Linked DNA regions of Caenorhabditis elegans. The protein of the gene in region 2 purifies or fractionates together with the protein of the main gene of each other region. This does not show direct contact. Each region holds a gene or a part of one and is shown on either strand. Other genes may lie near its edges.

Region 1 (5,258 bases), on a different chromosome or scaffold from region 2:
CTTTAAAGTCAGGCTCAAATTCTCCAATTTCGACGCAAATCCTTTGGTTTCCTCAAATTTTTTAGTGAAAAAAACTTTATGTAGAGAATACCAAAAGTTACCAAAAATCTGGAATTTTTCTACAGAATTTAGCACGCCACTGTAGACATAAAAACCTCTTTTTCACTTGAAAATTCGAGAAAAACAAAGAAGCTGCGGCGGATTTGAGAGCTGAAAGACAAAAAAACAACGACTTGTATTTTAACCGATTTTATTCAAAATTAACAGCATTTAGGTCCCCAGTTGATCTCATAATCTTCTGGTCGTGATGGTGGACGAGCTGGTGGGACAACTTTCGAGATTGTCGATTTGAGCTTATCTGAAATGATTTCAATTTTAGAACATCTTCAGCTTATAAAATCTTATTTATACTTACCGGTTTCGGAGCAGCTGCTTTTGGTTTTGTAGCCTTCGCTTTGCACCCAACAGAAACAGTCTGCGCCAATAATATTCTGAAATTGAAAATAATTTCAGTCAAATTCTCAGAAATTAATAAAACTTACATCCCAAAAAAAATCAGGCTTGATCAGTTACACAATCAATTTCTTGAGTGACTGAATTCAAGCTCTTATTCTTGAGGAATAAATTTTAAACTTTTGAATACTCCTTTTCTACGTGTAGATTTTTTTATTTCTCTTCACGTGTTGTAGGACACGTGTTTTCAGCTCGACCATTCGGTGTAATTTGTGCAAACACCGTCACGCGCAAATGCAGACATTTTTGCACGCGCTGTGGTGAAATTCCTCTTGGGGAATTCAAATATTTTTCTCTCGCCGTTTTTGAAAATTTTCGAGGCGTTGGTTCTTTTAAAATCGCGCTACAATGCCTCCGCCTCCCAACCATGGGTCTCGGTAGGTATTGGCGACAAAACCATATTTTCCAACTTGTGGAAAACATTTATTTTACGAGAAATACAACATGAAACTGAACAGAGCAGGAGCTGAAAAACATATCGTAAATTTTCTACAGTAATCTTTAGAAACGAAACAAAATAAAAAAAGATGCCTCCCTTAAAACACAATACTGAAATGTTTCAGGATCTGTTATTGGTGACGATGGTGGTGCTTCTGGAGGATATGCTGATCGAATTGTTCGAGATTTCGTGCTGGAAAATGGAGGAGGAATTGTAAAAACATCAAAACTGTAGGAATAAATAACTTTAAATAATGTAATATTTCATTTTTTCAGAAACAAGAACATGTTCTCCACGACTGTAGAATCCGAAGCTGGAGAAATTCTTTTAAGAGTTGCCAAGGTTTACGGGTTTCGAAATGTGCAGAATCTGGTTCGAAAAATGAAGACGAAAAAGGAGAAGACAGATTACGTGGAAATTATGGCTTGTCCGGGTGGATGTGCAAATGGTGGAGGTCAGATTCGGTACGAGACAATGGATGAGAGAGAAGAGAAATTGATTAAAGTCGAGGCATTATATGAAGATTTACCCAGACAAGATGATGAAGAAACCTGGATAAAAGTTCGAGAGGAATGGGAGAAACTTGATAAAAACTACCGTAATCTTCTGTTTACGGACTATAGGCCCGTTGAGACGAATGTTGCTCAAGTCTTGAAATGGTGAATTTTCTTGTTATATTTTGTGATACATTCCCAGTCCCTAATTTTTTAGATTCTATAGAATAAAATGTTTTTTTTTGTTTTTCAACGAAAACGCGACATTTTTAAAGCATTTTTTGGTTAACAGAAAAGTTACGAAAAAAAATGAACAGTAACAATGTTGAATAGATGAGAAAAACAGCAACAAAAACAAACAGGGAGCAATAACAGGGAGACATCTTAAATATTAATAGTCTTGAAGACATTAAATCCATCAATTGAAGTGTTGATAGCCAATCCAGGAATCTGTTGATGCCAGTGAACTTCTTTGACCTCATTCTGACCCATATGGACGAACATCAGCTGTGGTGGAACTCCTTCGATATTCGTTTGTCCATCTGCTTCAGTTGCAATATCCCAAATTGTTGTCTGATCGTCTTCACCGGAAGCCATAAATGTCGTTGTTTCATGTGGATGCCAGTCGACTGAAGTGATTGGTGAATTGTGATACTTGAAGAGTGCCACTGGTTGACCGAATTGGATTGTTTTCAAAGACCAAATTTTCAGCTCTCCGTCATCACCACCAGAAACAATGAGGTTTTCGTGACGATTCCACGAAATAACATTAACATCGGATTCATGAGCTTTTTGCACTGTACAGACGCAGGCATCTTTTGGAGCAGAACGTGTATCCCATAGTTTGATACTTCCATCCGCGGAACATGAAGCAAGAAGTCCAGTTTCAGTTGGTGACCATGCAAGATCTTCGACACTCTCTGAAAAATATTGGAATATGTACTGAAAAATGCTCAAAAATTTTTATGCGACAAAGACAAGTTTTTAATTCAGATTTTTGTTTTTTTCCAATCTATTCAAGAAAAAACCACTCAAACGCCATTCAGGAGACACATTTCAATTTTTGGAATTTTCAGATCAAAATTAAATAAATTACTTTTATGTCCAGTTAATGGATTAGCTCCAACAGCCCATTGTCCTCCTTCCTTCATTTGCCACAAATAAATCTTTTTGATGATATCACCAGTAGCCAAGTCTCCAGTTTTTAATGAAGACCAAGCAAGTCCATATCCTTCTTTTCCAGATCCATTATTCGTGAACAAGGGTCGATCGATCTTTTGCACTTCAGTCTTCGACTCTCCGCTCATTCCATGAGTATAATTCAATGCATCAGTGATATTCCACACCTGGACACGTCCTTGATCACTCCAGCAAGCACATACAGTACTGTCACCAAGACGATCGGAACGAATTCGGTTAATACCACCATAGTGAGGAATCGAAACAGCGTGCATTTTTGGTTCTCTTTTCTTCTCTTCTTCGGCATCTTCATCTTCGGATTCGTCTTCAGAGGTGTCACTGTCGTCGCCTTTGTTTTCTTTTTCTTTCTGAAATACTCACTTTTATTGTAGAGATATCCTTGTTTTTTTTAGTTTAACAATTGTGTTACTGAGCTTAAAACTAAACGTTGGCCGGAATTTCAATTTCATAACAGGTAAATAATAAAAAAGTTTGAAACCGACTAACCCTCATCGTTGTAAGATTCTTCAATCCCATCACAATGATTTCGTTATCCCTTGGCTTATCGGCTTGAGTTCCACTGACAATATAACATTCGGCAGGGAATTGTGTTCTGTTCTCGCCCAAACCATCTTTAACAACGTCAAACGACAAGCATGGCCAATCTAAATCATAAAATATAAATATTTTAGAAACAATTTCGTTTGAATCACCAGAATTGAAACTATGAAATAGTTTGTAAGCACTAGGGTCAAAATCCAATTCTTCTCCTTTTTTCAATGGCCGGCTGAGGCCTGGAATGTAAGCCTGCAATTTTAACAATTAGAAGTATTGTACGAAATTTCTAGCTCACTTGTCTCTGATTCTCCGGTACTTCCTCGTCTTCATCATCAGTTTCATCAACTTCCTCTTCAGACTCGTCTATATCCTCCACTGGATCCTCATCATGCATTTCAACGTCATTTTCACCGGACATTTTCTGCAGATACAGAATATATCTCTTAAGAAATGTTAGAAAAAGCGGATGAGGTAATATTTGGAACTTCAGAGGGTGTTTTCTTAAATTTTAAAACAATTATGAGCACAAAACTACTAGTAAAGCGTGAAAATTGGGAGGATAAAAAAAATAAATAGGAAAACAGAAAAAATTTTAGAGTACGCAAAAGTGCGTCGTCTCTGGCTTATTTCATGCGGTGTTTGCGTACTCTTAATATTTTTATCAATTTTTTAATGTTTTTCGAAACAAAAGCTATTTTCCTTTTATTTGTATTCATTTATGTGTTAAAGATAATAATATTAAATATTAATATTTTTTGATTTATCTGTCGCAAAGTTTCTGTACTTTCTGACTATATTTAGACTTATTTTCAGCCTGAAACGCTCACCCTTCAACAATGGCCAACTTGGATGATGAACTGGCTTTGTAAGTTGATTCTTCCTATATTTATTATCAAACAAATTATATTATTTTAGATTTGAAAGCGAGTTAGCCGAACTTGAACAAGCGAGTAGCAATTCGGAGGAGCCAGCAAGCTCTCAAACGCATGTTGGCTACGATAATGCAACAATTTCGGCAGGACCAACTACTTCCGAGTCATCAGCAGCTACTTCTAGTGCTCAAGTTATTCAACCATCACTTTTGGCAGCGCCTCCGTTTATTCCGATAGCTGCCACAATTGCAGTTTCTCCATTTATCAACCCGGCACTTGGGAGGCTTCCAACAATGCCTCCAGTTCCACCTTCAATTTTCATGCCTCCACAATTAAGAGCTGCACCGGTTAGTTTTGATTTTCCGTTGACTTAAAAAATATCCTTATTTTATGAATAAAGCCATAAATTTTTGAGAGAAAAGTTAAAAATTGAAGTTATGTGAATATTACTCTCAATTGAATATTAAATTTACAGATAATGTTCCCTCCTCGAGTACTCGGAATTCCGGCTCCTGCAACTATTGAAGGTGCTCCAGCATTATATGAAACACCTGCAGTAAACGCAATTCCACAAGAACTTCTGCGAACTCAAGCTCTTCAATCAGATATTGATAAGATGAATTTCAAAAAGCAAACCGATCCATTTAAGAAGAAAATCAAGGAACAACAAGCGAAAAAGAAGTTTGTGAGATCCGGTGGTGGTCAGGTTTGGGAAGATCCATCTCTTGCCGAATGGGATGAAAATGATTTTCGAGTTTTCTGTGGAGATCTGGGAAATGAAGTGTCGGATGAACTTCTTGCAAAGGCTTTTCGAAAATACCCAAGTTTCCAAAAAGCCAAAGTTGTCAGAGAATCACGAACAAATAAGAGTAAAGGATATGGATTCGTTTCATTCAGAGATTCGGAGGATTATGTGAGAGCTATGCGTGAAATGGACGGAAAATATGTTGGAAATCGACCGATTAAATTGAGAAAATCGGCATGGAAGGAGCGTAATATTGATGTTATCAAGCAAAAGAGAAAGCAAAAGAAAGAACTTGGAATTTTGTAAATCGATTCGTTTTTCTACATTTTTTTCTGTAATTTATTCATTTATACCCCAATACTTTCATTGTACCCCTTATTTTCCTGTCATCGTATTTTTATTCATTTTTCTTTTCAATATATAAAAGTCTGAATTGAGATATTTATCGTTATTTGAGT
Region 2 (9,818 bases):
CAAGAAGCTTCAAGTAGTTACAGAAATAGTATATTTTCAGCCCTACCTTTTAGTGCGTATTTTTTTATTTTATGAAAACTACCATTTATAGGCAAAAAGATGGATTTTCCAATTTTTGAAAATTCATAAATCTCTTCAATGTAACTTTTTTCGAAATGTCTTTCAGAAACTTTGTAGTAAATTTTAAGCTCTTTCAGATTATATTAACAATATTCCAGTAGGTACAAGAAGCTTCAAGTAGTTACAGAAATAGTACATTTTCAGCCCTACCTTTTAGTGCGTATTTTATTATTTTATGAAAACTACCATTTATAGGCAAAAAGATGGATTTTCCAATTTTTGAAAATTCATAAATCTCTTCAATGTAACTTTTTTCGAAATGTCTTTCAGAAACTTTGTAGTAAATTTTAAGCTCTTTCAGATTATATTAACAATATTCCAGTAGGTACAAGAAGCTTCAAGTAGTTACAGAAATAGTACATTTTCAGCCCTACCTTTTAGTGCGTATTTTATTATTAATGAAAACTACTATGTATAGGCAAAAATAGATGGATTTTACAAACTTTGAAAATTCATAAACCTCTTCAAAGTAACTGTTTTCGAAATGTCTTTCAGAAACTTTGTAGTAAATTTTAAGCTCTTTCAGATTATATTAACAATATTCCAGTAGGTACAAGAAGCTTCAAGTAGTTACAGAAATAGTACATTTTCAGCCCTACCTTTTAGTGCGTATTTTATTATTAATGAAAACTACTATGTATAGGCAAAAATAGATGGATTTTACAAACTTTGAAAATTCATAAACCTCTTCAAAGTAACTGTTTTCGAAATGTCTTTCAGAAACTTTGTAGTAAATTTTAAGCTCTTTCAGATTATATTAACAATATTCCAGTAGGTACAAGAAGCTTCAAGTAGTTACAGAAATAGTACATTTTCAGCCCTACCTTTTAGTGCGTATTTTATTATTAATGAAAACTACTATGTATAGGCAAAAATAGATGGATTTTACAAACTTTGAAAAATATAGCTCATCTATGCTCATAGCTCAGCTATGTCTCAGCTATAGGTGAGCTATAGCTGAGCTGAGCTAAAATCTGAAATTTCGCAGCTAAAATTCACATTTCACCGTTTCTGAACATGGGCTTTCGAATGAAACATGTTTCGTTCGAAAAGCCGCTGGCACCTTCAGACCCTTCGCTAGTTAGATGCATTTATTGCTTTTTTCCAGTGATCAGAAAAGTTAAGATTTAGAGACACAAGAAATTCCAGATCTTTCCTAATATTCTTCCCGTTAATAGTGTACTTGAAGTTATTTCTCGGTTTTTCCCTAATGTGACATGGATTGTTTTCTCTTCATTCAGCTTTAGTTTAGCTGATGTGGGCCAACCAACTACGTTTGATGAAATAAAACATTATTCCCGAACAATTTCAATAACAACAAAAATGATAAAGTAACAACAACAGAAATAAAAAAACCAAATTCTTTTTAAAAAAACAAAATATTAGGATAACAGTTAATCCTCATCACTCCACATTGACATATCAGCAAATTGATCTGGAACAGAGGCGTCTGCTTTCTTGGCAGCTGCTCCAATCTTGATTCTCTTCCTCTTTGCCTTCGAAACCTCTGGCTTGACATCATCCTCGTCCTCGACAGTTTCATTAGGTTTTCTTTTTTTCGCAGCAGCAGCTTCTTCTTCCTTCTTTTTCTTTTTGTCGTCTTTCTTCTGAAGCAATTAATATTTTGAAAATGTTTAGTTTATGAAAAGTTTTTCAATAAAAACGAACCGAGTTCTCCACAGCACTTCTTTCCTTCATCTTCCATACTTTCTCCCATTGCCGATAGAATGTCTTGATCGGCGAGTCAGGATTGTTGAGATCAAAGCGGACGGCACGCTGAAGCAGTCATTTTATTTTTATTGAAAAATATATATAAATTGTTTGACTAACCACTTGCATCTCATCATTAATATCGACACTCTTGCGAGCAAGAACATCAAGCACAAATCTTGAGTGCTCTTTCAGTTTTGTTTGGAATCCGCGGAACAAGTGAGCGTGATCTCCATTTTTCATTGTTTCTAGGATTGCGGAAATCTGAAAATATTATTTAATTGTTTTTTTTTACTTGGAATTTCTTATTTAATTCCATCCTAACATTTAGCAAAATCGTCGATGGAAATGAAATTCTTTTTTTAACTTATTTTATTCAAAAAATGAATTATTGTTCGGAAAAAAAAATTGAGTTTTGAGTAGAAACTGAAAAAAAAACAATGAATTTTCAACTAGAAACATCCGAAAATTGCTAAAAAATCAATTTAAAACAATTTGTCGTGCCGAGACTATTTTTTGCGCGAAAATCTCAAAATTTTGCGAATAAGTAATATGAACTGACTCTATGATTGATCGGCAAAACGACGTCCGGAAATGCGGCTTGACTAGCCAAAAGATGTGCAGACTGCATCATAGTTCTGAACACATGTTCTGAGATGACTTTTCGCCACTGTGGAAGATCTGAGAATTGTGATGAACATTTCAGAGTACACTCGATATCCGGAAGTTTGACTGCTCCTTTTACTGGTTTTGGCTTCGACTTCAACTCACGAGCCAATTCTTCCAGACACTGGAATTATTATTTTTCCGTGAGAATTTGTTAAAAAATAATAAAACTTACGTCGCAAGAAACCTGCAAAATCGGAATATAATTGGTGCAACTGGCTTGAAGTTGAATGAGCAGTTGACAACAATGAAGACGGAGTGGTAGGAAAGTTGGAGCATTGCAAAGCTTGAAAATTCCAACGATAACTTGAATGAGAGGATAGACAAGTTCTCCAATTTGTTCAGCGCCGTTCACAGAATGAGCTTTAGCAATAACTCGTACCCACATGTACATACACTGCATCATCTGCCAATTGTAGATGGAGAAGATCAAATCCTTAAAAAATGTTTCTTTTTTGGGCTGTAGATTTTTTGTTTTGGTTTTTTGTGTGGTTTTGGCAAAAACTTTATTATTTTTCGATATTTTTTGAAAAAAATGGAACCGAAAAATTGATAAATTGATAACACTCGAAATTATAAAAAGAGTGCAATTTTGACCAAAATATTAAATCTTTTCAAAATAACATGAAACAATTTTTTTTCGTTTTTTTTTGGAGAAAACTTTTTTTTCGGTTTCAACCAGGGGTGTGCGGATAATAGCCGATTTAGCCGAATTAGCCGATCGGCTAATTCGGCTAACTCGGCTAATATTAGCCGAATTAGCCGTTAGCCGACTTTTTGGCAGTTCGGCTAATACGTAGCCGATTTTGATGTTAGCCGAATTCGCCAATCGGCTATTTCGGCTAATTCAACTAACATATTTTTTTGGAAAACAAAATGTGGTGAATTTGTATGATTTTTTCCTATTTGAACAGTCGTTCATCCCTGAATTTGCTCAATAACAGTGAAAAAAGTAACCCAAAACTTGAATTAACAGAATGGACAAAAAAAGTTTAACCAAATTCCGAATTAGCCGAAAATTAGCCGATTTGAATGACTGAGATTAGCCGAATTAGCCGTTAGCCGAAAAAATCGGTTATCCACACATCCCTGGTTTCAACCCTCTCAGGATTCAGTGTTTTCTGTGTTTCTTCTCACCTTTCGTCCTTTTGAAATCATTGCATTTCTAAGATGAACAGCTGTTTGACGAATATAGACAAATGCATACTTATAAGCTTGCTCTGGATTCAAAATTGTCAGCTCGGCAAATGTTCGGTGCATGAATTGAAGAAGTGGCCACGTTTCGTTGGTGACGATTTTCGAGTTTGCAACAAATGCAACATAGGCGGTCTGTGTGAGTTTGTATAGTTGCGAAAACCCGGTACCTGGTCTCGACGCGATCGAAAATTTTCTCAAACTGATTTTCAAATTTGTTTTTGGAAAATCGAAAACCGAAAAATTTTAAATTTTTTCAATTAAAAAAATATTTTTTTTTCGCGGCTTTTCATTAAAATTTTTTTTAAAGGAAAGCACATTTTTTGCACATTATTTTCACATTTTAATAGCTCAGTTGCTATACTGCGAATAATTTTGTCATTTTTCTTTAAAAAATAAACGAAAAAAATTATTTCCAGTATTGCAGAAAAAATTTTCAAGATTTCAAAAAATAGTTTTTCTTTATTTCGAAAAACGCTCGAAACTTTGGCAATCTTGTTTTGTTTCCAGAGGAAAATTTTTTTTCTCATTAAAATGTTGAAGTAGCTTTTTAATTTTCAAACGTTTTTTTCGATGTTCCGGAAAAATCGAAAATTTGAATTTTTGATCATCATCTCAGCGCAATTTTTTCCTATCGTCTTCAAAGATTACTGTAGTTCTTACTTCTAAAATTTCTAATTTTTTCAAAATTCGAATATTGAACGATTATTTTCTCGTTGTCCAAATGTTGTTTTTTTTAGATTTAAGAGGAAATTTTAAACATTCTGAAAAACTAGACACAGAGAAGTACAGTACTCCTTAAAGGTGCACACTCTTTTGTGCGGGAAATTTTCCATGATTTAGCGTTTAAAATCGAACTTTTGAATTAGATTATGTTTAGATTAATTAGATCAATTTTTAAATTTTTTACAAAAAATAAATTGAATTACCTTGTAAAGTGGCACGAAGTGTTGCGGATAGTTTTTGACAAGAAGATTCATGCAAACGAAGGCTGGAAGTCTGCATTCCAGAGTTTTGCGACTCCAAATTCTGACGACCGCCTGAAAATAAATCAATTAAAAGTATGATTTTCTTGTAATGACTTACCTTAATCAAAAGTTTAGACATTCTGGAGAAATGAGCATAGAGATCGACAAGCCGAGTCATGGCTTTAATTGTGGCAATGAGAACTTCAGTGGTTTGAACTTCGTTGAGAAACTGAAAATATTTGAATTTAAATCAAAAATTTAGAATTTCAGATGTTTTCAGCCACTTACAACAATCATTGCATGAAGATATGTTCTAACATATGTCTGATATTTCTTGATTGCAGTCTTCGAGAACAAAACTTTATCTCCTTCAGGTTTCGCTTTCAATAATCTTTTTAGAATATCAGGCATTGCTTGAAAGCACATTCGAACAACAGCTTCGAAGATTGATTGCTCATTAATGACATATTTTGGAGCTTCAATGTCTGCACCAACTCGAGCAACACAAGCGACAAAAACATCGACAGCCATACGAACATCCGATGGATTGGTGGGTGTGGAGGTCTATAATATTTCATTTTGTTGGAATTCGAATAGGATTCTCGCACGATGGCCATAGACTATTTTGCTTCATTATCACTTTTTAAAAAAAATTTTTTTGCCAAAAAATATTTTACACTTTAAAAAAAAGTTGCACTTGATATTATTCAAAAAAAAACAGTCGCAACATCAAAATTTCCGTTTTTTTCGCTTCCGTCGACTTCGAGAAATTTTTTTTTCGGATTCAGCCCTATTTTAAATGAATTTTTTTTTTTTAATATATTTAATCTTAGACTATTTTGCTTCGTTTTTGCCTTTTTCAACGTTTTTGGCTTAAAAAAACGTTTTTTTCTCACTTTTCGAAAGAAAAAACCGCCTGTCGCTCACTGAAAACACAAAATTTTTAATTTTCACACTTTTTTCAAAAAAAAAACATTCCAAACTTCAAAATTTCCTTTTTTGCTTCTTTCGTGATTTTTGGCGAAAAACCTTTTTTTTTCGATAACGTTTTTTTCTGGTACAACCATATTTCCCAAACGCGAAATATTTCGTTTTATGCTAAAAGTATACGGTACCCGGTCTCGACACGACATAATTTTAGTTAAATGCAAACTCGTGTGCGCATTTAAAGAGTACTGTAGTTTCAAACTCTAGTTACTGTAATTTTCATTGATTTTTTATAGTATTTTTTACTGATTTCTTATTAATTATGTGATTTTAATTGTTTTTTTTTTGTTGAATAAATGAATATATTTTCAACTAAAATACGAAAAATCGATGAAAAATTTCTAAAAACCAATATTTAGTCACAGCTTGGGTCTGCTAATCATTTAGTATCAGGTTTTTAAAATTTTTTAAAAAATCATTTACTTCAAAATTTACGTTTTTAAAAAAATGTATGCGTTTTTAATTGTTTTCTCAACTAAACAAATATATTTTTTCGAGTTTGTCCGCAGTTGCCTCGCAACTTGAACCCAACGGACATCAAAGTATCAAAGTAAGTAAAGTTTTCCGTCTCGATAATATAAATTACCTCATCATCCAAAACGAGAACTTGTTGAAGGTAAGAGTAAACATTTGAATCCACGATAAGACGTCCAGAATTGTCACTTTTAATCTTTGGTTTTCGGATCTTCTTAATCTTTGTCTTGTCGTCATCCTCCTCATCATCCTCATCATCATCACTTTCCTCTTCCTCTTCATCTTCATCATCCTCATCGTCATCTTCATCGTCATCCCCATCATCTTCCATATTCAATAGATCGGCATCTTCCTGTTGAAGGAACTTGAAAAACTCGGGATCGGATTGTTTCAGTCTAAAAATATATATTTTTATTACCAGCTCGAAGACAATTTCTCACTTTTCCAAATCCAACTTATGCTTCTTCACACCTCCTTTCTCAACAGTCACAGTTCCATCATCTTCATCTTCAGATCCATCTAAACTTCCTTCTCCATCCAATTTTGGTACCTCCTCATCTGAACTTCCCTCGTCCTCAGAACTTGGCTTCTTTTCAATCTTGATTCGTTTTGAAATAACTTTTCTTTTTTTGAGTCCCGCGGGTTTTTTGAGAAGCTTCATCCTGAAATTATGATGTTGTGGAAATACATGATTTTCTAATATCGAAATGATAATTCAGTTGTACACTCGCAAAATTTTGCGCTAAAAATACAGTACCCTCCACAGACTTACAAAAATATATTCGCTTTTTAAGAGTACGGTAATTTCGAACTTTTTTTTCTGCGGCAGTCGTTTTTAGTCGTTTTTTTCACGATTTATGATACATAAAGATCAAAAACACTTTTTGAAAAGCCGCGAACTTTCAATCCACTACTGTATTTTTGTGTTTTGTTTAAGCGACCGAATCGGGGTCACAAGACCTCTAGAGACTACGGTCAACGAAGAGACTTTCTCATAGTCAGGAAAAAGATTCGGATGAAACGCGCGTAACAAAGAAGGAATAATTCTCTGACTGTATAGTCATCTCATTTGCATATTAATTCAAGGCAGGATTTCATTATTTCTTATTCTCATCCATGATAGGTTTTTGATTTAATTATTCTAAGTCTATAGAATCTAGGAATCTAGTATGTAGCTTGATTGGAACTTCTTCGTTCCGAAAGGTCACTTGAAAATCTATAGAGAACCGGTCTCATCGCTCGCTAGATTAGCTGCCATTTTTCCATTCGATGTCAAAATATCATAATAGTTTCTGCAATTCTACAAAATGACATAATGCACCATGTTTTTCTAACATTTTTAATTTCCTATTTGTGTCAAAAATAATTTTTTTTAAGTCACTAGATTTATCTGAAAATAACATTTAGTTTAAGGTAATTTTCTGCATTTTCTCAAAAGTTTCGGCTGAAAAAAATGTTATTTTCAGATAAATCTAGTGATTTTCTATATTTTTTCGACATAAATTAAATTCCATAAATAGGATATTTTTTGATGAAATTAAATAGTTAAACTATTGAGAATCTCATAAAAATTAAAATAATCCCACAATTCCCGCTAGCTACTTCAATGTTCCACTCCTAAACCACATACACAATCCTCTACATTTCGCAATAAATGTCCCCGGTACGATAAGCCAGAACGGACGGGAGATAGGTACAAAAGCCATTCTGCGGGATGAATTGGACACTTGTAGGATAATGGAAGGAGAAGCTGCTGGCTGTCGCCCGTCAGCAACATCAGAAAAACGAGAAAAATCTTTCCGCGCAGCCGTGGTGCGCCACAGCTTTTACGCTTCATTCCGTCGGCTTCATCTCTCGCTCACAGTCTTTCCATCGCTTTTGACTTTTATGTTTTTGTTTTATAGTTGAGAAACTGATACAAAATGTGAAAAATTGCTAATTTTCAGATTTCATGTTCGTCACATTATCCTACACAACGCACACAATTATCTCAATATCTCTACATGTTTTCGGAGTAGTGGTTGGACTATTCGTATGGTATTTATTCCCGAAAAATGTATGTTTTCTTGTAGAATTCTCGATTTTTGAGATAAATTTAGTTTCTACGATTCAGAAAAGATTACAATTTTTAGTATTTTTAGTAAAAACTTATTTTTTTAATTTAAAAGCTTCCAAAATTTTCTCATCTAGATTTTCAGCCGACGCGCTCAATTGTCCAACTCCCGTCAGAAAGAGTAGCTGTCTCGATTGAAACTCCAATAACTACAAGAAGTGAAAAACTGAATGCCTACTCCCCGACAAGTTCTAATAATAATTTTACGACGAATGACGGCGGAAAATTAATCGATTTTGATGATCAGCATATTCCACAGATCTCAGCGATTCGCCAATTCGGTTAACTTCAATCATTATTTTCTAATCGGTTAGAAAATTCAATTAGAATATTAGAATTTTATGAAATTGCGAAAAATTAACCGATGATTTTTAATGTAAAAATTTTACGAGTATACTATATTACAGTTTTTTTTTTAATTTCAATAAATTTTATAAAATACAAATACAAAGCAGAAAGTATAAAATAATGAACCGTTATCTAACGGAATGAATAGACAAGGTTAAAATTAAAACAATAATAAATTAAAATAACTTTTATCGTAAGTTTAAACAAGATCATATGATATGTTAAAAATGATTATCCTTGTGCACCTTGAGCCATTTGAATAAGCTCATTGAGCCCTGAAGGTCGCCATACAAATTCGATTGGATCCATCACATAAACCATTTCCGAATCGAGATAAATCGAAAGTGCACCGAACCAAAATACTTGTCGTCCGTCTTTGTATCGATCTTTTTGTGGATGATATGTGAATCCATTCTTTCCAGCTGTGTACTCGATAATTTCTTTTAATGACAGTTTCTGAACAGGTGCAGCTTGAGTAAAGTGTGGTGCCATTGGTGGTGGTGGAGCCATTGGAGCAATCGGAGTGGCTTGGAGTCCGCCGACTTTCTCTCCTTGAAGGGATCGCCCTATTGCGATCATTGAGCGACGAAGATTTTCTGAAAAAAAAACATTTTGATTCTAAAAACGAGATATTTGAACTTACCATTTACAGTTGGATAATTAACAAGAACTTGTGGAATTCGAGCCTTCCAGGATCCATACCAACGCTTCACTTCATTGTAATCGACACCAGGACTATCTAGCCAAAGACAGAGGCAGTTGTAGAACTGAAAAAAAAATGTAATATTTAAAAACGAACATGAATAATCAACTTACCCTCGGGAAGAAATACTTTGTAACAATATTAGCAATTGCATCAGGATGTGTAAATTCAAGCCATTCCATGCAAGCTGTCCATTCAGGATATTCTGGATTCATCGTTGGATTCAATTCCATCGTATCCAATGCAACACCTAGTTTCGGAACAATATTTTGTGCAATAAAGGCTGAAAATGTTGCAGCTGACCAAACATTCTGCCATGGTCTCAGTGTCTCAAGAGCACTTCTATCCATTGGATCCCATAGTTTCAGAGCTTTTGATAATTTCTGTCGAATTGGAGGCATCACTGTTTGAATACGATCTCCAAGAAGTACAAGCCAAGGCACAAGCCATTCATGAATCGGAATTTCATCTGTCATCGGATCCCATTGATTAACTCGTTCCGCAATTTTAGGAACAACCAGTTGCTCCAGAATAT
Region 3 (8,121 bases), 1.6 Mb from region 2:
GGAGTCAACTTTCTAATTGGATAGATCTGCAAAAAAAACAAATTAGTATTAATTTTACTCTAGTTTAAATTACCGAGCCCATATCTTCAGGATTACTTCCCATCAGCTTAGACGTCTTGACATCGGAAACACGACGCCCATCAAAGGTTATAAAACGACCTGGTCTCATCCAACTTTCATACAACGTAGGTGCAAATTCAACATTTTGGCAAGTGGGAGAAGTCACAGATATCACGTAATTGTCAGAGATATCATAGATAACACCCGATTGAGCTTGAACAAATTCAACTGATTGATGATCCGATTGTCGTTGAACGGCGGTTGGAGGCCCCAATTTCTTCATATGTGAGGTATTTTGAATGTCCGTAGGAGTAGGTGGTACGCTTGTCGTCTTTCTAGTATCATCATAAATAGCCCATGCTACAAACTTGCAGCCGTGAGCTTCTTCTTGACGGAAAATGTATATGAGATAAGGTTTGTCGATATATGCTCCTTGTCCGTACCAACACGCTCCATTCGTCGTTCTTGTTGAAAAAGGAACAAAAACTTTCGCAGTTCTTCCATGAATTGAAACATGCCCAAATTTTAATTGTTCATCCAAATAAGAAAGACTTCCATAAACTTGTAAAAGATCAGTTGGTTTAATTGCTGTCAATGCACTATAACGACCATTTTGAAGTTGAGCAGAAAATATTAAATGATCACCATTCTGTAAGTTATTTTCTAAAGTTCTTTGAAGCCACGATTCGAAGAACTTACCTCTGGTTCATAATATTTCTTTTCATAATTCAACCGTAAAGCACTATCAGGTAAGTCAACTAGACGATTATGTTGTTTTTCCAAAATCACACAAGATCTACCGGTTTTCCGAACATGTCCATCTCCTAAAATCTTCGACATCATTCGACTATCGAGTGCAATGCTGAAATAATATTAATGAAATTACGTTTAAATCAATTTGATTTGAGGTTTAAAGCGGAAAGAATAAGAGAAAAAAAGAGAAGAAAATTGGAAAATCGGTGAGGGAGAAGGAAAGTGAGAGCGATGGTTATGCAAGCTGTGATAAAGAGAAAAATGTGAGCTCGACGGATGCACAAAGGACCGTCTGCCAGTCTTATAAGAAAAAATAACATGAGCAGATAAAAAAGTGCAAAGATTGGGGGAGCATTGGGGAACAGTACTCGTCCGCCCATTACGTGAAGCCTCGGTAACGAGCAGCTGAAATTACAGTGACACTCTGATTCTAAGAAATTCAGGAAATATAATATTGCGAAAATGCCACAGAAACAGGTGAATTTCTAAGCTGAAAACCAGTGCTTGTCTCAGTTAGTCACTGCAGCTCACCGAGCATCGGAGATGTTTGCTTCAACACTCTGATAATTATAGGTTTATATCTAAGCGAGCTTTTTGGGGAAACGAAAGACACTGAGCCGACTGAATGGAATGTAAAATGAGAAAATGTAGAATGAGGCGGAGCTGCGAGCTGATATGTGTTGGTGGGGAGAATGACTGTTGCCAAGACAATCAAATCTCCAGAGGGGAAATGAATCTATCATAATCAATGAGGAGCCATGTGATAACAATGTATGAAGATAATAATGAAGAAGTAATGTGAATATGGGAAATGACAATAATAAGATAATAGAAGAAAGATATTCGTCGGGTTTCAAACCGATATAAGGCAATAAAATAATTATTTTCAATAAAATTGAAAACTCAACTTCATTTTGGTAGAAAGGGCGATTTTAGGAACAAAAAAAATCAACAACGAAGGTTAACAGGATAAATGAAAAATGAATAAATCAAAGAAAACAAGATATTAACGATCAAAAAAACCAGGAAAGTCCAGCTGAATGCAGTGGCAACGGAGAAATTGATGACACCTGAAAATTAAATTGGTTGAAAAGGTAATGCAATGTTGAGAAAATTGATAAAAATTAATTTTCAACCGTTGATATCAGAAGTTTTGGATGATAGGCTCTTTTTTTTTTCATAGAAGACACAAAATAAACAAAGGTCATCTATAATTTCTGATGAACGAACATTTTTAGAATTCACACGAGGACTATAACAAAACGATCGATTGTAAAGAAAATAGAAAATGCATTTTTTAATCAGTTCAAAGCCAAGATAATTCAATTTAGAAAAAAAAAAATTAATAATCAAACATGCTGCAGACCACTTTATATCATTGAATAGAAATAGAGAAATATGAAAAACGTCTGCTTATCAATATGTGATATGTGACTACAATTTTCGTCGTAGGCATTTTCCGAGAGCTATGAAACTTTCAGTGAAAAATTGTATGAAAGAAGAAGAGGCTGGAGGCAATAGAATTGATGAATCATAGGAAGACAATCAGAAGAAAGCTTATCATCGAACACGCAAACACACGCAGGCACACACACATATGTGAACGCCATCAATTATTAAATTTTAGCCTAAACTTGATTGAAATAGATCAGTTATTTTCTTTAGCATTCTAGGAAAAAGTAATTTAGTTACGGGTATTCGCCTTTCTGACATGAAACGAGCTATACGAATTATTGAACAAATCCGAAGAGGCTTGGTTTTCGAGAATGACACGTCACAATTACTTTAAATTCTCATCAATGTGTAACACACATCAGACTCAAATCTCAAATTAAAATATTCATTCAGACAGACTAGTCAACACCTTTTCGAATTTGTTGTATTTAAAAAGATTCAAAAATAGAGAAACAGTCTGAAATCACAGTTTTATAGTACACTTTATTGCTCTTATGAAATTATGAACAGCTCGTAGACAATACGAGGTCAGCTGAACTAAAATGGAAAGTAGCAGGTGGCTAGGGCTCCAGTCGTTCATGGGGACGGGGGACACGAATAAAAAATAGGATACTCGCTCTCACACACACACACACGGTGGTGCCAGACCTCGCGCACATATTGCCGGGGTCGAAAAGAGAGGAGCGAAATGACCGATGGAGGAAGAATAAGAAGAAGGCTATCCTCTTTTGATGAATATAGCCCCAAAGTGACCGGGCACACAAAAACACATTCAACCGACTAAAAGGGCAAACGAGAGGAATAGGAAAAGGTTAAACATACGTACCATATGATAAGTAAATTCAGGTTTTTCATTGTTTTTATATGTTGATAGGATATTTATGTTGAAAGTTAATATTCACATTGTTTTCGGTTTCATATGCTAATTATTTTCATGTGTAAAAGAGTGAAGCTCATTTGCGCAGTGGAGAGTGAAGAGTATGTCGCGTGATAAATATGACATGGCACGATATCAGAATGAGATGTCTGCATTACATTCAACTCACTTTTTTTAAGCGATAAGCTTAGTCGACTTGATTGTAGATGCACGAATTCCGCTCGTTTCTCCAGAATATTTCTGCATTTCGCGACGAACGTTTCCAATCTGAGACTTGACGCGCTTCTCGATGGCGTGGACCTTGCGACGATTTTTAGTCTGAAATTAGAAATTATTGAACTGGGAGACTTCAAAAAAAAAAACACACAACGCAGCTAATTGGGAGTTGCAGTAAAAATGAGCATAGTATACGTAACCAAGGATGAAACTCTCAAGTGTCGTCGCCTAGACGTTGAATTGTCTATGTCACAGTGAGTCTATTTTATTTCTTTCAAGAAAAATTAAGATTAAACAAAATCGTATTACTTATCTGTCTGAATAAGTCATGGTTATATGCTTCATTTGTGCTCGGTTTTCTTTTTGAGTTAAAATATGCTTCAGATAATTCATTACACTACGCTTTTTAAAAAACTTTTTTTGAATTCAGTAGCAAGCAGGTGTGATACTGAATTAATTATTTTCTTATCACAACTCTCGAAAAAGAATCTTAAAAAAATAGAAACCAAATAAGCAAGTTGAGATTTCGGCAGCCAATTACTCGCTGTGGTGGGGAGCATAGACGCCGTCTCGACGTATTGGATTTTTGGGTTGGAGCAAAAAATAGAGAGTTATGTAGTGTATTCATATTTTGATCTCACATGAAACTCGGCTTTGTGAGACTTTTTTGTCAAACAAGAATTGTTATTTTTCAAATATATTCATGTATTCGTGAAAGCATTGTAACAACATTTTCATGCACAAGAAATGTCGACCCTACTCATCGAATTATTTTTCATACACTAATTGTTTATGATACAAATATTTTTGGTATTAAAAATAAGATAAAAAATCGAAAATAAAGTTACCTTGCTGGTCTTGGCCTTCTTTTTCCCACGTCGTTCTGCGTATTCACGGTTTTTGGCAACTTTGTCAGAGGCCTTTCTTTTTTCATCTGCATCCATTGGTGTGAAGTGTGGATGAATTGATGTGTTATCAGAAGATGTGATTGTTGAAAGATTCTGAAAAAAGTAAATCCAGATCTTAATCCAATTCAGCTATGTTTCCTGATTTTTATTGACAAAAGAATGTACAATTTTTTTAAATTTTACAAACTTTAAAAATCTTTAAAATATACGGCAAACAAAAAATGTATTTAAATTCGAATAATGTTTTCCCTAAACTTACATTGTTCATAATTGCTCCAAAATTCTTCTTTGTAAGTTGAACATCTCCAACCTTCGAAATCAATTCTTCCATATTTTCTGGCTCCGACTCCGCCCATTTCTTGAGCTCATCCAGATGATCCGAATTCGAATGCAAAAAATCTTCACACTCGGTGATTTTCTGAATTTAAAAGTTTGTATTTGAAATTTAAATCAATCGGAATACCTTTTCAAGTCGTTTCAGCGACTCCACTACAGGATGGATGTCAACAAGTGGATCGTCGAGTTTTTCATTGGAAAACTGTTTGGCTCTGAGATTCAACAGGAATGCTGTGTTCATGAGGTATCTGAAAGATAAATCATAAAAATGGAAATTTAGGAAAAGAAAACATACGATGCATATGTCTGGGCAACGTAGACTAACTGCGATCGCAATGCGCATTTTGGAATCTGCTTGATTACATTTTCAAGAGGCTTCACGACGAGATCGAAGATGCGTTTCTGAAAAGTATAAAAAATTAAAATTAAACCGAAAAAAGGGGAAAATTGAACTGTTAGAATGGTGATGAAAAGAAACAAGTGAAAAGGAAGAAGAGAAAGATAACAACAAGAGAAAATGTTATCAGGTGAAAAGGAAACTGGTCACGAGCTCTCCGGAAACAGCTGTATAACAATTCTTAGCCGCTAATTAGAATTGAAAGTAGCAATATATAATTGAAAAACAGAAAAAGCTGGCGGTCGCTGCCGATATATGTCCAACATCGTTTGGTGTGAATTACAAACCGACCAGGTGAACAGAAACGAGGAAAACAAGACAAGTTATGAGAATAATTAGAATGTGATGTTTGAGGATGAGAACATACGAAACTAACTCGAGCAGTTCAGGCATCGAATTCTTCAGACACCAGAAGGGCACTTTGCTTTCGCTTTTTAATGTTCACACATAACGGCGTCTGATGTTGGATGATTTAAATCGTTTCAATTGTGTGTTTTGTCCGTTGAGAATCATCGTTTAAAGCGAATCGTCCAGCATCCTTAGGCTATGATGGCAACCCGTTTTTGACGTAATCAGAGACGATTGCGCGATTTGAGACCGCTTATCTACTAGCCATCGGTGGTGTTTAGTTGAAAGAATGAAGAGAACAGATGAAGTGAAAACGGGAAGATACTGAAAAAGAGAGAACACGAAAAATTAACCTTGGAAACGATACGAATCAGCATTTGATGTTCACAAGTGATAGCTTCAAAATTTAATAAACTTTCGAGAATTGGCATTAGGAAGAAATAGGAAATTATCACAAGAGGAAGAAGCTGCAACTGATACCGGGAAAAAAGTGAAGAGACATTTTAAAAAATTAGAACTTACTCTTGCTTCAAATTGTTCCAGAGTTTTCACGATTTTTTTGTTCTTTGTCCTTGCATTCTCCTCATTGAATTCTAAAACTGTTTCCACCTAAAACTTTTCATTATTTTAATTATTCTTTCAATTCGTTTACCTCGACAGTTTCTTCTTTTTCTTCCTCATCTTCATCGTCGTCGTCAAATAAATCAGCAATGGCAGCTGTCGATTTGTCGATTTGTTTTTGACGAGTCAACGCATCTTCCTCTTCGAGTTGAGCATCTTCCATTTCTTCTTCACGCATTCCGCCCCAATCTTTATCCACGAATCCAGTTCCATAGAAATCTTTCCTCTTTTTACCCCATTTGTTGTCCGTGATATCTTAAATAAATTACGTTAATCAGGTAATTCAGAAAGAAAACTACCATTAACATCGTCATCATCAAAGTCGGATCCATCGTCTTCACTGCTATCCGATGCTTCTGCTTCAACGTTTAACACCTCTTCTGGACGATTGAATGTTTTTCTTTTGTGAATAGCACCCTTTTCGACTTTTCTGTCTTTGTTATGAAAAGTATTGATTTCATCAATGAGATCATCATTTTCGTCTTCGTATGAGATATGAGCAGATCTGAAAATATATTTAATGATTATTTATAAATTGTGAAAAACATTCAACTTACGCTTTCCCCTTCCTTGATGACATAGTTCTAGTATCTGAAATCCAAAAATTAGCAATTTATAGCATTTTCAACAGAGAAACGGATTGCACCGACCGAAAATAAACCAAATTCTGATTTTCAAATCAATGAATAACTCTAATAAAGTTAATTATGCTTTAATCGTGTGATAAACTTCGATAAATTAATTTTTAAATGAATAGAACGAACTTTTACAAGATAAATTATTCAAAAATTGAATTTTCGAGTTGAATTTGAGAAAAGACGGGGGAAAATTATTAGCGGCAGGGCTTTGTGGGCGGGGTTTCTGATTGCAAACTACCCGCGCACTTTATTATTGTTCTATACACCCATTTAATGCTCACCTTTTTTTGTTTTGAATAGAACGAATATCACTTTTTTCTTGAATATGTCGAATTTTATTGACGAATTTGTATTTCTTGGTTATAAAACTTATGAACGATTAGTTCAGTTGATCCCATTATTCTCGGAAAAACCTGACACATTTCGAAAATACTTATTTCGAATACTTACAGAAAACGTTTTTCTGGTTTTAAAAACTAACTCATTTATATGTTTTCTTTTTCAGAATGACTGAATACGACAAGTTTGCCGAGCAGCTCCGTCATCCGGATAACCCAATCGTTTTTCTAGAAGTTACCGCCGGTGGTGCACCAATCGGAACTATTGTTGTAAGTTGACGACCATTCCAGTTTTAATTTGCTATATATTTCATAATTTTTCAGATCGAGTTATTTGCTGATGTAACACCGAGAACTGCTGAAAACTTTCGTCAGTTCTGTACAGGAGAATACAAAAAAGATGGTGTCCCAAACGGATACAAAAACTGCACATTTCATCGTGTGATCAAGGACTTTATGATTCAGGGTGGCGACTTCTGCAACGTAAGTTTAACAATTTTAAATTTTAAAGTTATATCATTTTTTCAGGGCGATGGAACCGGTTTGATGAGCATCTATGGTTCAAAGTTCCGTGACGAGAATTTCGAGCTGAAGCACATAGGACCAGGAATGCTTTCGATGGCTAACGCTGGCTCTGACACAAATGGTTGTCAGTTTTTTATCACTTGCGCAAAAACCGATTTCCTTGACAACAAACATGTAGTTTTTGGTAATTTTTTTTTATTTCAAATTCACGGATAAGTTGATTTCTGTAGTACAAAGAAAGAAGAATACGGATTGTGATTGTGATAAATGTCTCCAACGTCATTAGTTCTCCATCCCAATCCCCTGAAAGCAGTGTTTTAAAAAGAAAATCGCAAATTTTAATGATACCCACTGATAATGTTGGTGATACATTGATGGTGCCATAGTTGTTGTTTTATACTGATTATATGGGTTGAACATGCCAGCGTTAGCATACAATAAAGGAAGTAATGTTTGCAATGAAACGCATTTTAAAAAGAAAAAAATTAGAACGAGAATGCGTGTCATCGTCTAGCTAAAACAACTAGATTTCCTTATATCCTTATCACCTTTTATACGAGATAAAGCTAGTTAATGACGCCATTGATATGTTTGATATTTCTGACCGATCGTTTATTGCAGGACGAGTACTCGATGGAATGCTGACGGT

What was found.
Region 1: the proteins of pro-2 (region 2) and grwd-1 fractionate together in Caenorhabditis elegans (co-fractionation; one large-scale study listed by BioGRID). This does not show direct contact.
Region 3: the proteins of pro-2 (region 2) and T01B7.5 fractionate together in Caenorhabditis elegans (co-fractionation; one large-scale study listed by BioGRID). This does not show direct contact.

Annotation. Positions count from the first base shown.
Region 1 is NC_003281.10:5,151,889-5,157,146, reverse strand, and holds grwd-1 (Glutamate-rich WD repeat-containing protein 1), read right to left. Parts: upstream 3,684-5,258; 5' UTR 3,602-3,683; coding exon 3,479-3,601; intron 3,433-3,478; coding exon 3,339-3,432; intron 3,291-3,338; coding exon 3,133-3,290; intron 2,994-3,132; coding exon 2,543-2,993; intron 2,367-2,542; coding exon 1,831-2,366; 3' UTR 1,711-1,830; downstream 1-1,710. Other genes in the region: putative cytosolic Fe-S cluster assembly factor oxy-4, read left to right, coding at 1,077-1,182, 1,228-1,615; rbm-42 (RNA-binding protein 42), read left to right, coding at 4,020-4,048, 4,099-4,402, 4,531-5,106.
Region 2 is NC_003280.10:10,338,332-10,348,149, forward strand, and holds pro-2 (Nucleolar complex protein 2 homolog), read right to left. Parts: upstream 6,782-9,818; 5' UTR 6,781-6,781; coding exon 6,560-6,780; intron 6,515-6,559; coding exon 6,232-6,514; intron 5,223-6,231; coding exon 4,947-5,222; intron 4,888-4,946; coding exon 4,777-4,887; intron 4,731-4,776; coding exon 4,620-4,730; intron 3,826-4,619; coding exon 3,634-3,825; intron 2,933-3,633; coding exon 2,672-2,932; intron 2,621-2,671; coding exon 2,393-2,620; intron 2,095-2,392; coding exon 1,951-2,094; intron 1,897-1,950; coding exon 1,789-1,896; intron 1,728-1,788; coding exon 1,515-1,727; 3' UTR 1,410-1,514; downstream 1-1,409. Other genes in the region: C07E3.10 (uncharacterized protein), read left to right, coding at 8,071-8,175, 8,318-8,518; stip-1 (Septin and tuftelin-interacting protein 1 homolog), read right to left, coding at 8,812-9,176, 9,224-9,347, 9,397-9,818. UniProt on the Caenorhabditis elegans protein: Required for normal somatic gonad development and for regulation of germline development and proliferation.
Region 3 is NC_003280.10:8,715,275-8,723,395, reverse strand, and holds T01B7.5 (Sas10 C-terminal domain-containing protein), read right to left. Parts: upstream 6,563-8,121; 5' UTR 6,552-6,562; coding exon 6,529-6,551; intron 6,477-6,528; coding exon 6,271-6,476; intron 6,227-6,270; coding exon 6,003-6,226; exon of another isoform or gene 5,960-6,002; coding exon 5,873-5,959; intron 5,008-5,872; coding exon 4,901-5,007; intron 4,854-4,900; coding exon 4,733-4,853; intron 4,688-4,732; coding exon 4,529-4,687; intron 4,363-4,528; coding exon 4,210-4,362; intron 3,464-4,209; coding exon 3,320-3,463; 3' UTR 3,315-3,319; intron 1,884-3,314; 3' UTR 1,711-1,883; downstream 1-1,710. Other genes in the region: trcs-2 (TRansport of membrane to Cell Surface), read right to left, coding at 1-26, 74-709, 760-900; T01B7.13 (uncharacterized protein), read right to left, coding at 7,679-7,775, 7,825-7,979; cyn-11 (Peptidyl-prolyl cis-trans isomerase 11), read left to right, coding at 7,116-7,217, 7,272-7,430, 7,476-7,656, 8,094-8,121.